Neurospora crassa OR74A: one gene and its partners. The main gene of each other region encodes a partner of the protein of the gene in region 3 in a complex. Links are inferred from orthologs where the notes say so. Each region holds a gene or a part of one and is shown on either strand. Other genes may lie near its edges. The genes, in order: fes-1, NCU03233 and cyt-26.

Region 1 (3,747 bases), on a different chromosome or scaffold from region 3:
GGCGGTCATGGGCAGCAAAATCGTGGCTGCACTCCACAAGACAGTGGTTATCAGCCAGTACGAGGAAACGTCAAGCACTGAGGCCCATCTCGTCAAGCTCGCGTCTTATCGGTGCACAACTTATCCGGTCGACATCGCGGTGCATGGCAACATGATTGCTGTTGCTGATATGATGAAGTCGGCTACACTGGTCGAGTACGTCCCGGCCAAAACCGGAGGGGAGAAGTCCGAAGCCCCCAAGTTGGTAGAGTGCGCGAGACACAGGCATTCTGCGTGGGCAACGGCCGTGGCTCACGTTGAGGGCGAGTCTTGGCTTGAAGCTGATGCCAATGGCAATCTGATCGTGCTTCAACGCAATGCTGAGGGCGTGACAGTGGAGGACCAGCGGCAACTGAGGATAACAAGCGAGCTCAACCTGGGAGAACAGGTGAACAAAATACGCCCGATCAAGGTCGAGACTAGCCCGAACGCCATCATCATTCCTCGAGCGTTCTTGGCCACGGTAAGTTGCCTGTTTCTCAGATTGATCATGTCACAAGGTCAAGGCTAACAATTGACTTGATAAAACAGGCGGAAGGCGGTATTTACATGTTTGGTACGATTGCGCGCGAACAAGACCTCTTACTTCGGTTCCAGGATAAACTGGCGGCGGTGATCAAGACAGTTGGCGAACTCGATTTCAACTCCTACAGGGCATTCCGCAATGCGGAAAGGGGGCCCGAGGCAGATGGAACGACTGGGCCGGTCAGGTTCCTGGATGGGGAGTTGCTGGAGAGGTTTTTGGATGTGGATGAGAAGACGCAGAAGGAGATCTGCGAAGGTCTTGGGCCGAGCGTTGAGCAGATGCGCAATATGGTAGAGGAGCTACGGAGGATGCACTGAGCCAACGGTTAGACACTTAACGTGCATGATTGGATGTCTACAAGTCATCGCTTTGGCTGCTGAAGATTTTGGCAGTTGCAAGTGTTGTCAATAAGTGCTGTGCTCAAAACATGGCTGCATAGGGTGAGAGAAGATGAGTCTGTGAATAGCCTCAGATGAACGAATGAATTATGTATGATCAATAGATCAATTGACATCACTGTCTTGGCACCCTTGGCTCGCCGAGTCGCTGACAGTTCAAGTTGTCCGGGCGCTGCGGTGACGCGCTGAGGTGAGCCCCACCACCACCATCACCACCACCAACAGGACGAACCAGGCGACGGAAGAAACCGGAGAGTGGACGAACAGGCAGTCACAGCCAATCAGGGCCGGCGCATTAAGTAGCTCTCTAGCTGCTGGGCGGACGCTGTGGTTGGTTAGTGCCTCAGGCCACAAGCCAGTAGCTATGGCGGTTTCCCATGCCGGGAAAGGTGGGAACCAAGCTCGGCCCAGAAAAACCTCAGTCCGTGATTTTGGCCTCGTCGTCTCGACCGCATTACGCAGCCGTCAATTCCGTCTCCGGAACACCGCCCACGTCCACCGTCCTCCCGCGACTCCGAAAGAGCAGAACCTCGCTCGATCTCCCCGCTCTCGCAACCCCCTCTCTCCGCTCCGACCTCTGTCCACGCGAGTAATTCTACCGACACAATGGCGCCCGTCTCGATCGTTTCCCGCGCCGCCATGCGCGCCGCTGCCGCCCCCGCCCGGGCCGTTCGCGCTCTCACCACCTCGACTGCCCTCCAGGGTTCCTCGTCCTCCACCTTCGAGAGCCCCTTCAAGGGCGAGAGCAAGGCCGCCAAGGTCCCCGACTTCGGCAAATACATGAGCAAGGCGCCCCCCAGCACCAACATGCTCTTCTCCTACTTCATGGTCGGCACCATGGGCGCCATCACCGCCGCCGGCGCCAAGTCCACCATCCAGGGTGAGTCTTGACTTGATGGGATTTGAGGAGGAAGCTTCACACATTCCTCGAGGTTGGGGAAAACAAAGAGGTGGCATAGGACAGATGGGTTCGGGTCAATGGGATTCGACAAGGGGGTTCTGTTATGGTGGGGCGAGCTATCTACGGTTCCGTCTCATCGATCACCAATTTGCGACCACTATGACAACTTTCGATATCGGGGCGGATATGGTTGGACCTTGGGGCGATGTTGAAGCATGGATACATGGGGAAAATGCCATCTTGCACATGCACCCACGAACACCCAAGAACTAAAGACAGCTGACGAGGCGACCGTGTTATACAGAGTTCCTCAAGAACATGTCGGCTTCCGCTGATGTCTTGGCCATGGCCAAGGTTGAGGTTGACCTCAACGCCATCCCCGAGGGCAAGAACGTAAGGATCCCTACGAAACCGGATTAGCAAAGGCTTGGGCTGAGCTGAGCTGGGCACATCGATTCCCGACGACGATCAAACCATGATGGAATGCTGACCCCGGTCTTTTCCTACTTTTACAGGTCATCATCAAGTGGCGTGGCAAGCCCGTCTTCATCCGTCACCGTACCCCTGCGGAGATCGAAGAGGCCAACAAGGTCAACGTTGCCACCCTCCGTGACCCCGAGACCGACGCCGACCGTGTCAAGAAGCCCGAGTGGCTCGTCATGCTTGGTACGCCCCTCCATGTCCCTCTTTGCGATCCGAACAAGACGAAGGATAGCATTTTTGGATGCTCAGATCCTGGATACACGACGATGTGGGGAGACTGACATTTGGTGTGTGAACAAAACAGGCGTCTGCACCCACTTGGGTTGCGTTCCCATCGGCGAGGCCGGTGACTACGGTGGCTGGTTCTGCCCTTGCCACGGTTCTCACTACGATATCTCTGGCCGTATCAGGAAAGGACCTGCCCCTCTGAACCTCGAGATCCCTCTCTACGAGTTCCCTGAGGAGGGCAAGCTTGTCATTGGTTAAGCGAGCAAAAAGACAAAACTTTCCGATTGAACAAACAAGACACAATTTTTAACCAAACCTACTAGGGAATCCTCTCGATATTCCCTTGTCCACTTTTTTTTTCCCTTGCTGCCCGAGAGACGATGACAGGGAGAATTGTATTAGTACGGGGGTATTGCGACAAAGGGCTTGAGTGGAAGCATGTCATAGACCATAAAACGGGATTTTTGTTTTCCGTGGTTCTTGACGCGGTTTCGTACGACTATCCTATAGACAGAAGACACACATACGCATACACAACAGCAAATCAGGTGTCACGGTCGATCATATGCGCTCGAGAGTCGGAAACTTCTATATACTCAGAACTGCGTTCTTCACCTACGCAACCCTACATACCTATTATTGGTGCTGAGCTTGGCGCTAGGTTGCTGCTGAGTGTTGTACCCTTGCGTTTTCCTATAGACTGGCTTTGTAGAAAATCCTATTGTATGAGAGGCTCACTGGAGCATGGTACCGTGAGAAGGTCTTCCTCGACCCATGGCAGTCGGCTGTGGCTAAGAGCTTTGTGAGGAAACCATAGGTCAGCTGATGAACCTCCCAATGCTAACGCATCTGATCATCCAACACGGCATTGGTAAATACAAATGGCCTTTTATGCGGGTGTGGGACAGACAGGCTACATGTCGAATTGCTGGAGAGCAGCTCGACCAGAATTACAGATGTTGACAACTTAATCTTAGCTTGGCCAACCTTGCGAATCAAGCCCAGTCGGTATACCCGCCCGTGCTACTCTGGTAGCTGAGTTAAGGAAACGCCCGCGAACCGGTAGCTTACCCTGGTTGTTTCATTGACGTCTGAGGAATTCTCCGAACGTAATTATATCTGAAGCCCGCCTTAACATCTTGTGCGCTACTCAAGCCGACACATAGTTAGTG
Region 2 (3,492 bases), about 850 kb from region 3:
TGGACGCTTAACGTGACTTTCGCCAAGCCGTTGCCTCCTTGTTATCTGATCCCACCTTCCCTGCAGGGCAGGATCCGACATCCCTCTCGTCTTGAACTGTAAATTGACTGTACAGACCCTGTACAGCCAGCAGCATTCGAAACCATCACTCTTTATCGTCGTCGTCCCTTTCATCTTAACAATTTGCCTTGGACATTCGCCTTGGACCATTCGCCTTTACCCGATCGCAACGTTCAGAGCAGCAGCACTTCCCGTCATGGCATATTCATACAGCTACCCCATGCTCCCCAGGCCCTCAACGCGGGCGCGCGGAGCGGCAGAAGGCTCAAAGGTCGGCGTGCAGTGTCAAAGAGTGTCGAAAGGCTTCCCAGTTTAGGCTCATGCTGAAGGATTGTTCAGGGATCGTCGTGAATCGAGTGTGGCGCATCAATTGGACCGGCGGAGCAGTGTCTCTGTAACTTGGCCATAGCAATTGCCGGCCAGGACCTATGCTCATGATCTTTATCCTCGATCGTCACTTTCCTGCTTCAGGTCGAGTCCTCTTTTGGTTCAGACGAAGCCTTTGCGGTCTTTGGCTCCCCTTCAGAGTCGAAACCAAGGGCATCCAATTCCCGGATGAGTTCGTTGATCTTGATAACCTTGGCGATCTGTTCAGGTAACAACGACTCTCCACCATCCTTCTTGTCCTTCAGCTCCTTGGCCTGGCGAAGCTTCTTCTTTACATTCCGGGCCTTCTTCTCCTTCTCGGCTTCCGGGTCGAGCTCTTCTGGCTTGAGTGCAGGGGCCGCTGCAACAGCTGTCTTCTGATCCTCGCCTTCTATTTCGCCAGCAGCCTTGGCTTTTTTGCGCGCTTCCCGACGTTTGGCATTTTTGTTAGCCGCCGCACTGAGCTGCTGGTCCGACTTGTCCTCCTTCAATCCCTCTGCGCCCGGCACTGGGCCTTTGCCGCGCTGGCGAAAGCCCTCGGCGGTGCGGTTCTTGTACACCTCGACATCCTCGGGCGGGCGGTAGCCGGGGCGGACTTTGATAGCTTTTCTGGTACTCCCGTCGGCTCTCTTAGACTCGGGGATGACACGCTCGCCGTTTTTGTCAGTTATGATGCCGGAGTTTGTTGGCTGAGACATGGTTCAAGATTGTGGTGGGATTATTGATGTTCGATGAGGGGTTCGGCTAGGGTTGCGGCGATGCCGTTCGACGATTCGGAAGTAGTGAGTTTCGTATAAATGTTTAATGGTTGATTCGCCGGAGCTCGAACCTCGCGTGTCGAGATTGTTGCTTTCGTAATGCGCACAGTTTGATGCGCATCCGTCGGACACGTCAATCAGTAAATTTGTAGGAAGAAGCAAGAGATTGGAAAATGAGGACGACGTTGTGGCTTCGAGGTTGATCCCGCTTGCAGCTTGGCACGCTTGTGAGAGGTGCCAGCAGCCTTGGAGGCACCTGGAGAAAGTGGGTCATAGCTTTGACCAATCAGGGGAGCTGCATTTGCTCCGGATGGTTCCGGCCGGCGACATCTGCGATCTTCTAGGTTCCGCTGGGTCGGTTTTGTCCAGTGCAACGAAAAACATCGTGATTGCTCGCGACGCCCATCTCCCACACAACGTCACCGTCAGAGACGCAGCTGAACCACCGTTTACAGCCTCGGTAAATCTGCCAAAATGGTGAGCATCTCTCCGCCCTCACGCCGGCTCAGAACCTGCCAATGCTAATCGCGCATTCCCAATTTAGTCCGCTTTGTACAAGCAAGTATCCCCGCAACGCCGAGCGCATGCTCACACGCCTCCCACCCCCATCGGCCCGGCACCGGCCCCGACCCTATCTCCCGGGCCAAAGCCAAATCGAGCACCGATAGCTAACGTACATCCCAGCCTCATCTTCCGCAACAACACCGCCTTTGTCGGCGCTGTCTTCGCTGGTGCCTTCGCCTTCGAGTTGTACGTACCCACGACAGTCGTATAAACATATAACAGGGAATCTTGTGTCGCTGAACAATCGCACCATCTAGGGCCTATGACAACGGCATGGACAAGGTCTGGGACAAGATCAACAAGGGGGTACGAGCCTACGACTGAATTGACACTGGTGTGGAACAGTTGCTGACGAGGAGAACAGCGCCAATGGAAGGACATCCGCCACAAGTACGTCGAGGCTGAGGAGTAAACATGACGACTTGGGAGCAACTTTTCAAGACATGGAAACGCCGACCCGATGAGGATCAGACGACAGCCTCTAGGAGAAAGTGGGACGTGGTCGACGGCCATTGATTGCTAGAGGAATGGGCGACTTTTCCTGACGCTTCTGCCTACCAAGCCCCTATTTCTACCGTATTGTACAAAATCAATATTCACCATGGCGAAAGACACATAGACGAATGACCATAGCCCGACTACAAGGCTGAAGAGTAGGAGCATTGAGCAATTCTCTCTGCCAGCTTTTGATCTGAGGAACCTCAGCATGAAGCAAGCCCGGCAACCGAACGGCCCAGCCTGGATTTCGGACGTGTGTATGTGTGGGCAATGTCTGCTTTAAATTTCCCAGCGTTGCGTAGCAGGCTGAAGCGTTCGATGAACTGCGCAGTTCGAGCTGACCTTCGCAATCTCTGACGTCTTTACGCAGCGGCTTTGATGGTCGGTCGGACGGCATGGATTTTTCACACACCAAGCGCCAGCCCCTGGCAAGCTACGTTAGCTGGCACTGTGGCCTGTGGTATGTGGTATGTAGAGGTAGTAGAGTATAGAGGTACCTACCGGCTGGTGCTCGACATGGTGATTATTCGCTGAGGAACCTCTACATTTGACCTACTAACTTTTTGTTCTGTCCCTACCGTACCTCTACCGGTACTTCAGGAGCAACACGGTGCAATGCACGATGATGATTATCAATATACGGTGTGGACGACATCAGGACGGGAGGTTCAGTTTGTAACAAGTCGCTCGGTTAGGTATAGTAGCGGAAGCACACGCGTACTTCTGAGGGTAAGCGTGGCCCAGTTGTAGTGTTTAGTTGCTCCCTATCATAAACAGTACCATTCATAACTGTACGTCAAGAAGGGAACAGGGCTTCACTCTTCCTAGTACCTTCTGCCTACGCTACCTCTACCTCTACTTAAAGGCCCGGAGTGCGGCCCCCCACTGACGTACCATTACGAGCGTCAGTGCACCTTCTTGTTCGCAAAATACCGAAGCTCGCTGCAGGATTTGTCTCGCAAATGTCGATAGGTAAAGATATAATGGGGATGAGTTATGGTCAAAGATGGTAGGAGCTTTTAGTGGAGTCCTAAGTGTCGGTGCAATCACGACTGCAAACCTACCTGGGTAACATAGGTTGCTCCGACGGCATGTCTACCAGTACTGAATTGGATGTTAGGCCAAATGGCACCAACGGAACTCGCAATGGATCAACAGCGGCCATAGAAGCCCGACAAAACCCCCCCCACAGGATCTACAATTAAGAAGGAACTCGGAGGAACGGTCCTGACGGTCGGTTGTTGGT
Region 3 (3,747 bases):
CCAAGGGCACCAACTACGATGCGAAGAGCATCGCTGAGGCCAAGGCTGCGCTGGAGAAGAGCGGCTTGCGCCAGCGCCTGATGATTGACTGCAGCCACGGCAACTCGAATAAGAACCACAAGAACCAGCCCAAGGTCGCTGCCGAAATTGCGCAACAACTTGAGAACGGCGAAACTGGTATCATGGGCGTCATGATTGAGAGCAACATCAACGAGGGCAAGTCTTTTTATTTTGTTTATTTTTTTTATTGGGGGCATATGACCGTCTAAATTTGAAGCTGTTCGCTAACACAACGTACAGGTAACCAGAAGGTGCCCGAGGAAGGCAAGTGCGGCCTCAAGTACGGTGTCAGTATCACTGATGCTTGTATTGGCTGGGAGGACACTGTCGCCACTCTCGACACGCTTGCGCAGGCCGTCAAAAAGAGGAGAGAAGTCCTGAGCAAGAACGCCGCTGCCTAAGTCATGCCAATTCCTGGTCTTGTTTGCTTTATGGTTTATGGGTCATTTGATAGGGGTTCACGAACCCTAAGTGAGGGATGCCGAATATATGCTGGCGCGGGGATGGGAACACAAAAGCTGACATTTCTGCATGTGGTGTGTTTTGATAAAGAGCGTGTATTAATGCATCTTGGGAAATGGCCGTCGAGACAATAGAAGATGGTAAAAGATGGAGCGGGTCTGGATCTCAAAACGAAACAATTACCTTGGATTTCTTTCGATGATAATCTCTAGGATCGTCCATGTTCGACTACAGTTTTGCGTTGCCTTTTTTTTTGGGGATGCAATTGTGGTGATGTGTTGGTGTGAAGCGTGATAGCCGTGGTGACCAAATCTGAGCTTCACCTGCGATTACGGGGCCACGGCATAGGTATGTATGTGTGGTGTATAGCTTCAAACCTGGCTTTCCTTGGCAGCTTTTCCTCGGCTAGGTCCGGTCACGCTGGGTCGCCGTGTGAGCTGAAAAGACAGAAGGGGCGGACCGCGGGCAGCGAGAGCTTGGACATTTATGATTTCCATGGGGCGATGCTGGCTGATGCTGATGCTGATACTGATGCTGATCCTGATCCTGATGCCCAGCTCCCAGCTGTGCCCAGTTGGATTAGTCGCTTGTGAAACTTCCACTTGCAGGTCGGGATTGGGCTCGCTGAGGTGTCTACCTTACTGAGCAAGGTAGTCTCAAAAAGCGCTGAGGCCCGCGGGCAGAATGAGGTAAATTAGTGCGGAAAATCCATCGGCCGGGGCCGAGGGGAAGTGTAAAAGCTCGAAAGGCTGCACGGTGATTGGCCCAGCCAATCAGATGGCGAGTGTTCCTAAGATTCCCGAAATTCAAGAAACCTACGGTCCTACCTACGACGCTACGTGAAGGGAATCGACCGACCTTGCACCTGGACGGACCTGCTCGACCTCCCGCCCGCCAGACCTGATACTGTCACCGACATTGCCAACCCAATTGGCCTTGTCCCCCGAACCCGCGATACTTTCCTAAAGCTTCGCTCAGCTTGCCCACCATGCTGGCGAGGACCTGCCTGCGCTCGACGCGCACCTTTGCCAGCGCGAAAAATGGCGCCTTCAAATTTGCCAAGGTTCGTCTCGATTGCTTCGACAACTCTTTCGTCCTCGTCTCTCTGCCCCTCCAAACAACAGATCTCGGCCGCATCGCCACTCGAATGGCTGGGTCTGGGCCGGCTTGAGCTACCGTCAACCTACTGCGAGCTCCCGGTCCGGGGCCCAGTTGCCCGACCATCCCCGCCCCGGCCGAGCCATCCTGTCTTGTCTCCTTCACACTCTCGCGCTCCTCGAGGAAAGCTAACGGACGTGCCCGGCAGCGTTCGGCTTCCACCCAGAGCTCCGGCGCCGCTGCCGAGTCTCCCCTCCGCCTGAACATTGCTGCCGCCGCTGCCACCGCCGTCGCCGCCGGCTCGATCGCCTGGTACTACCATCTCTATGGATTCGCTTCCGCCATGACTCCGGCTGAGGAAGGGTGAGTCCCCTACGATCGATCCGACCATCCGCCCCGCTCTAGCCGCTGGACCGAGGTCTGCCTCATGGGTTCTGAGGCATATACGACCGAGCTCGACTATAGGCATGAATCTGGGCATGGAGTGACTCGAAGCTTACCGTTGACGCAGTCTCCATGCTACCAAGTACCCCTGGGTCCACGAACAGTGGCTCAAGACCTTTGATCACCAAGCGTAAGCAACCACTCCTATCCAGCCCATTCGAGGCCGCGCCTCCAATCCAAAATGACTATCTGGCTCACGACTTTGTTTTTGCCCGACTGCAGTCTTCGCAGAGGTTTCCAGGTGTACCGTGAGGTCTGCGCCTCGTGCCACTCTCTCAGCAGAGTCCCCTACCGCGCTCTTGTCGGCACCATCTTGACCGTCGATGAGGCCAAGGCTCTTGCCGAAGAGAACGAGTACGACACCGAGCCCAACGACCAGGGCGAGATCGAGAAGCGCCCCGGCAAGCTTTCCGACTACCTCCCCGATCCCTACAAGAACGATGAGGCCGCCCGTTTCGCCAACAACGGTGCCCTTCCTCCCGATCTCAGCTTGATCGTCAAGGCCCGCCACGGTGGCTGCGACTACATCTTCTCCCTCCTTACCGGCTATCCCGATGAGCCTCCCGCTGGCGCTTCCGTTGGCGCCGGCCTTAACTTCAACCCCTACTTCCCCGGTACCGGTATCGCCATGGCCCGTGTCCTCTACGACGGCCTCGTCGACTACGAGGATGGCACCCCCGCCTCCACCTCCCAGATGGCCAAGGATGTTGTTGAGTTCCTCAACTGGGCTGCTGAGCCCGAGATGGACGACCGCAAGCGCATGGGTATGAAGGTTCTGGTTGTCACCTCTGTGCTCTTCGCCTTGAGCGTCTATGTTAAGCGTTACAAGTGGGCTTGGCTCAAGTCGAGGAAGATCGTCTACGATCCCCCCAAGGAGTCCACCACCCGCCACTAATTTAGCATTGCCACAACAAAGGGCAAAGTCATGACATTCACACAATAACCGTTGTGAGACGTGCGTGATTTTCCTTGTCTTTTTCTGTGTATGTATCATATACTATTGCTGCCCAAATTTTGCTCCCCCATGTTCCTCTTGCGCATCGGTCAGAAAGAGCAAAACGAAAAGGAATGGGCAGGGGCGGGATCGGTAACTCTGGGCAATGCGGAGATGTGCGGGCGTGTGGGTTGAACATGAAGATGGTCGTAGAGTGTATAAATCAAATTTTCTGGTCTCAAATACAACATAGACGTTATTGCCTGTGTCTGACAGGGTATGATGGTATGGGTATGACGGTCAAGCTGAACTTGCATGTGAGTGGATCAGGATACGGATATTACGACATGGGCATTTGAACGGATGCCAAAGAGTAAAGGCCATTTCCCTGTCAGCTACATCATCATGTACGCCTTTAACTTCGAGAGTAGTTGAGATATAGTATGAGCTTCGAAAGCCTTGACATTTCTCGATTGGCAATCTCTCTTTCACCGAATCACGGTAAATGTCAGCACGAAGTGCCACAGAGGATGCCCCTGGCTTGGCATTTGATTTGCCTTCCAAACAAAGTCTTGGCCCCCTCCCCTCCCTTTTCGATTCACTCACTGACAAGCAACAACATCTTGACCCCAAACTCATCGTGAAGTTTTCAATCACATTTTGATTCTACGATTGCTGGACACCACATATGTAAATCCAAAACTCTCCATCCACTGACAACCAGCAAAATGTCATCATCAAAACTATCA

The links.
Region 1: the proteins of cyt-26 (region 3) and fes-1 are in contact, whole or in part, in a cryo-EM structure (PDB 8ABB), measured with the Yarrowia lipolytica proteins. The link is inferred for Neurospora crassa OR74A from reciprocal best matches to the Saccharomyces cerevisiae genes CYT1 and RIP1. Residues at the interface, in XP_500165.3 of Yarrowia lipolytica: Arg163, Lys176, Asp186, Glu187, Pro188, Arg195, Lys200, Ala202, Val326, Ala329, Met330, Leu333, Ser334, Tyr336, Ile337, Phe340, Asn347, Lys349, Ile351, Tyr352, Asn353; in XP_499709.1 of Yarrowia lipolytica: Gly39, Lys40, Ser41, Thr42, Lys44, Pro46, Asp47, Phe48, Tyr51, Phe64, Ser65, Met68, Ile69, Ser71, Phe72, Leu75, Ser76, Ala95, Asp96, Ala99, Met100, Glu104, Lys119.
Region 2: the proteins of cyt-26 (region 3) and NCU03233 are in contact, whole or in part, in a cryo-EM structure (PDB 8ABA), measured with the Yarrowia lipolytica proteins. The link is inferred for Neurospora crassa OR74A from reciprocal best matches to the Saccharomyces cerevisiae genes CYT1 and QCR9. Residues at the interface, in XP_500165.3 of Yarrowia lipolytica: Pro127, Met131, Leu132, Ser133, Thr134, Phe135, Asp136, His137, Ala138, Arg141, Gly167, Val168, Thr169, His170, Thr171, Glu174, Glu287, Asp314, Lys317, Lys318, Leu321, Lys322, Ile325, Val326; in XP_500389.1 of Yarrowia lipolytica: Phe29, Phe33, Glu34, Ile37, Asp38, Phe40, Trp41, Ile44, Asn45, Gly47, Lys48, Gln49, Trp50, Ile53, Tyr57.

The regions. Positions count from the first base shown.
Region 1 is NC_026504.1:1,785,044-1,788,790, forward strand, and holds fes-1 (ubiquinol-cytochrome c reductase iron-sulfur subunit), read left to right. Parts: upstream 1-1,362; 5' UTR 1,363-1,569; coding exon 1,570-1,843; intron 1,844-2,168; coding exon 2,169-2,257; intron 2,258-2,379; coding exon 2,380-2,530; intron 2,531-2,651; coding exon 2,652-2,833; 3' UTR 2,834-3,561; downstream 3,562-3,747. Other genes in the region: dim-8 (DNA damage-binding protein 1), read left to right, coding at 1-502, 571-882. UniProt on the Saccharomyces cerevisiae protein: Component of the ubiquinol-cytochrome c oxidoreductase, a multisubunit transmembrane complex that is part of the mitochondrial electron transport chain which drives oxidative phosphorylation.
Region 2 is NC_026501.1:4,990,361-4,993,852, forward strand, and holds NCU03233 (hypothetical protein), read left to right. Parts: upstream 1-1,533; 5' UTR 1,534-1,658; coding exon 1,659-1,661; intron 1,662-1,728; coding exon 1,729-1,742; intron 1,743-1,868; coding exon 1,869-1,934; intron 1,935-2,005; coding exon 2,006-2,054; intron 2,055-2,112; coding exon 2,113-2,160; 3' UTR 2,161-2,988; downstream 2,989-3,492. Other genes in the region: NCU03232 (RNA binding protein Pym), read right to left, coding at 528-1,124. UniProt on the Saccharomyces cerevisiae protein: Component of the ubiquinol-cytochrome c oxidoreductase, a multisubunit transmembrane complex that is part of the mitochondrial electron transport chain which drives oxidative phosphorylation.
Region 3 is NC_026501.1:4,145,092-4,148,838, reverse strand, and holds cyt-26 (cytochrome-26), read left to right. Parts: upstream 1-1,276; 5' UTR 1,277-1,510; coding exon 1,511-1,585; intron 1,586-1,828; coding exon 1,829-1,983; intron 1,984-2,131; coding exon 2,132-2,194; intron 2,195-2,286; coding exon 2,287-2,959; 3' UTR 2,960-3,571; downstream 3,572-3,747. Other genes in the region: aro-7 (DAHP synthase), read left to right, coding at 1-216, 301-461; mbp3 (methylated-DNA-binding protein3), read left to right, coding at 3,727-3,747. UniProt on the Saccharomyces cerevisiae protein: Component of the ubiquinol-cytochrome c oxidoreductase, a multisubunit transmembrane complex that is part of the mitochondrial electron transport chain which drives oxidative phosphorylation.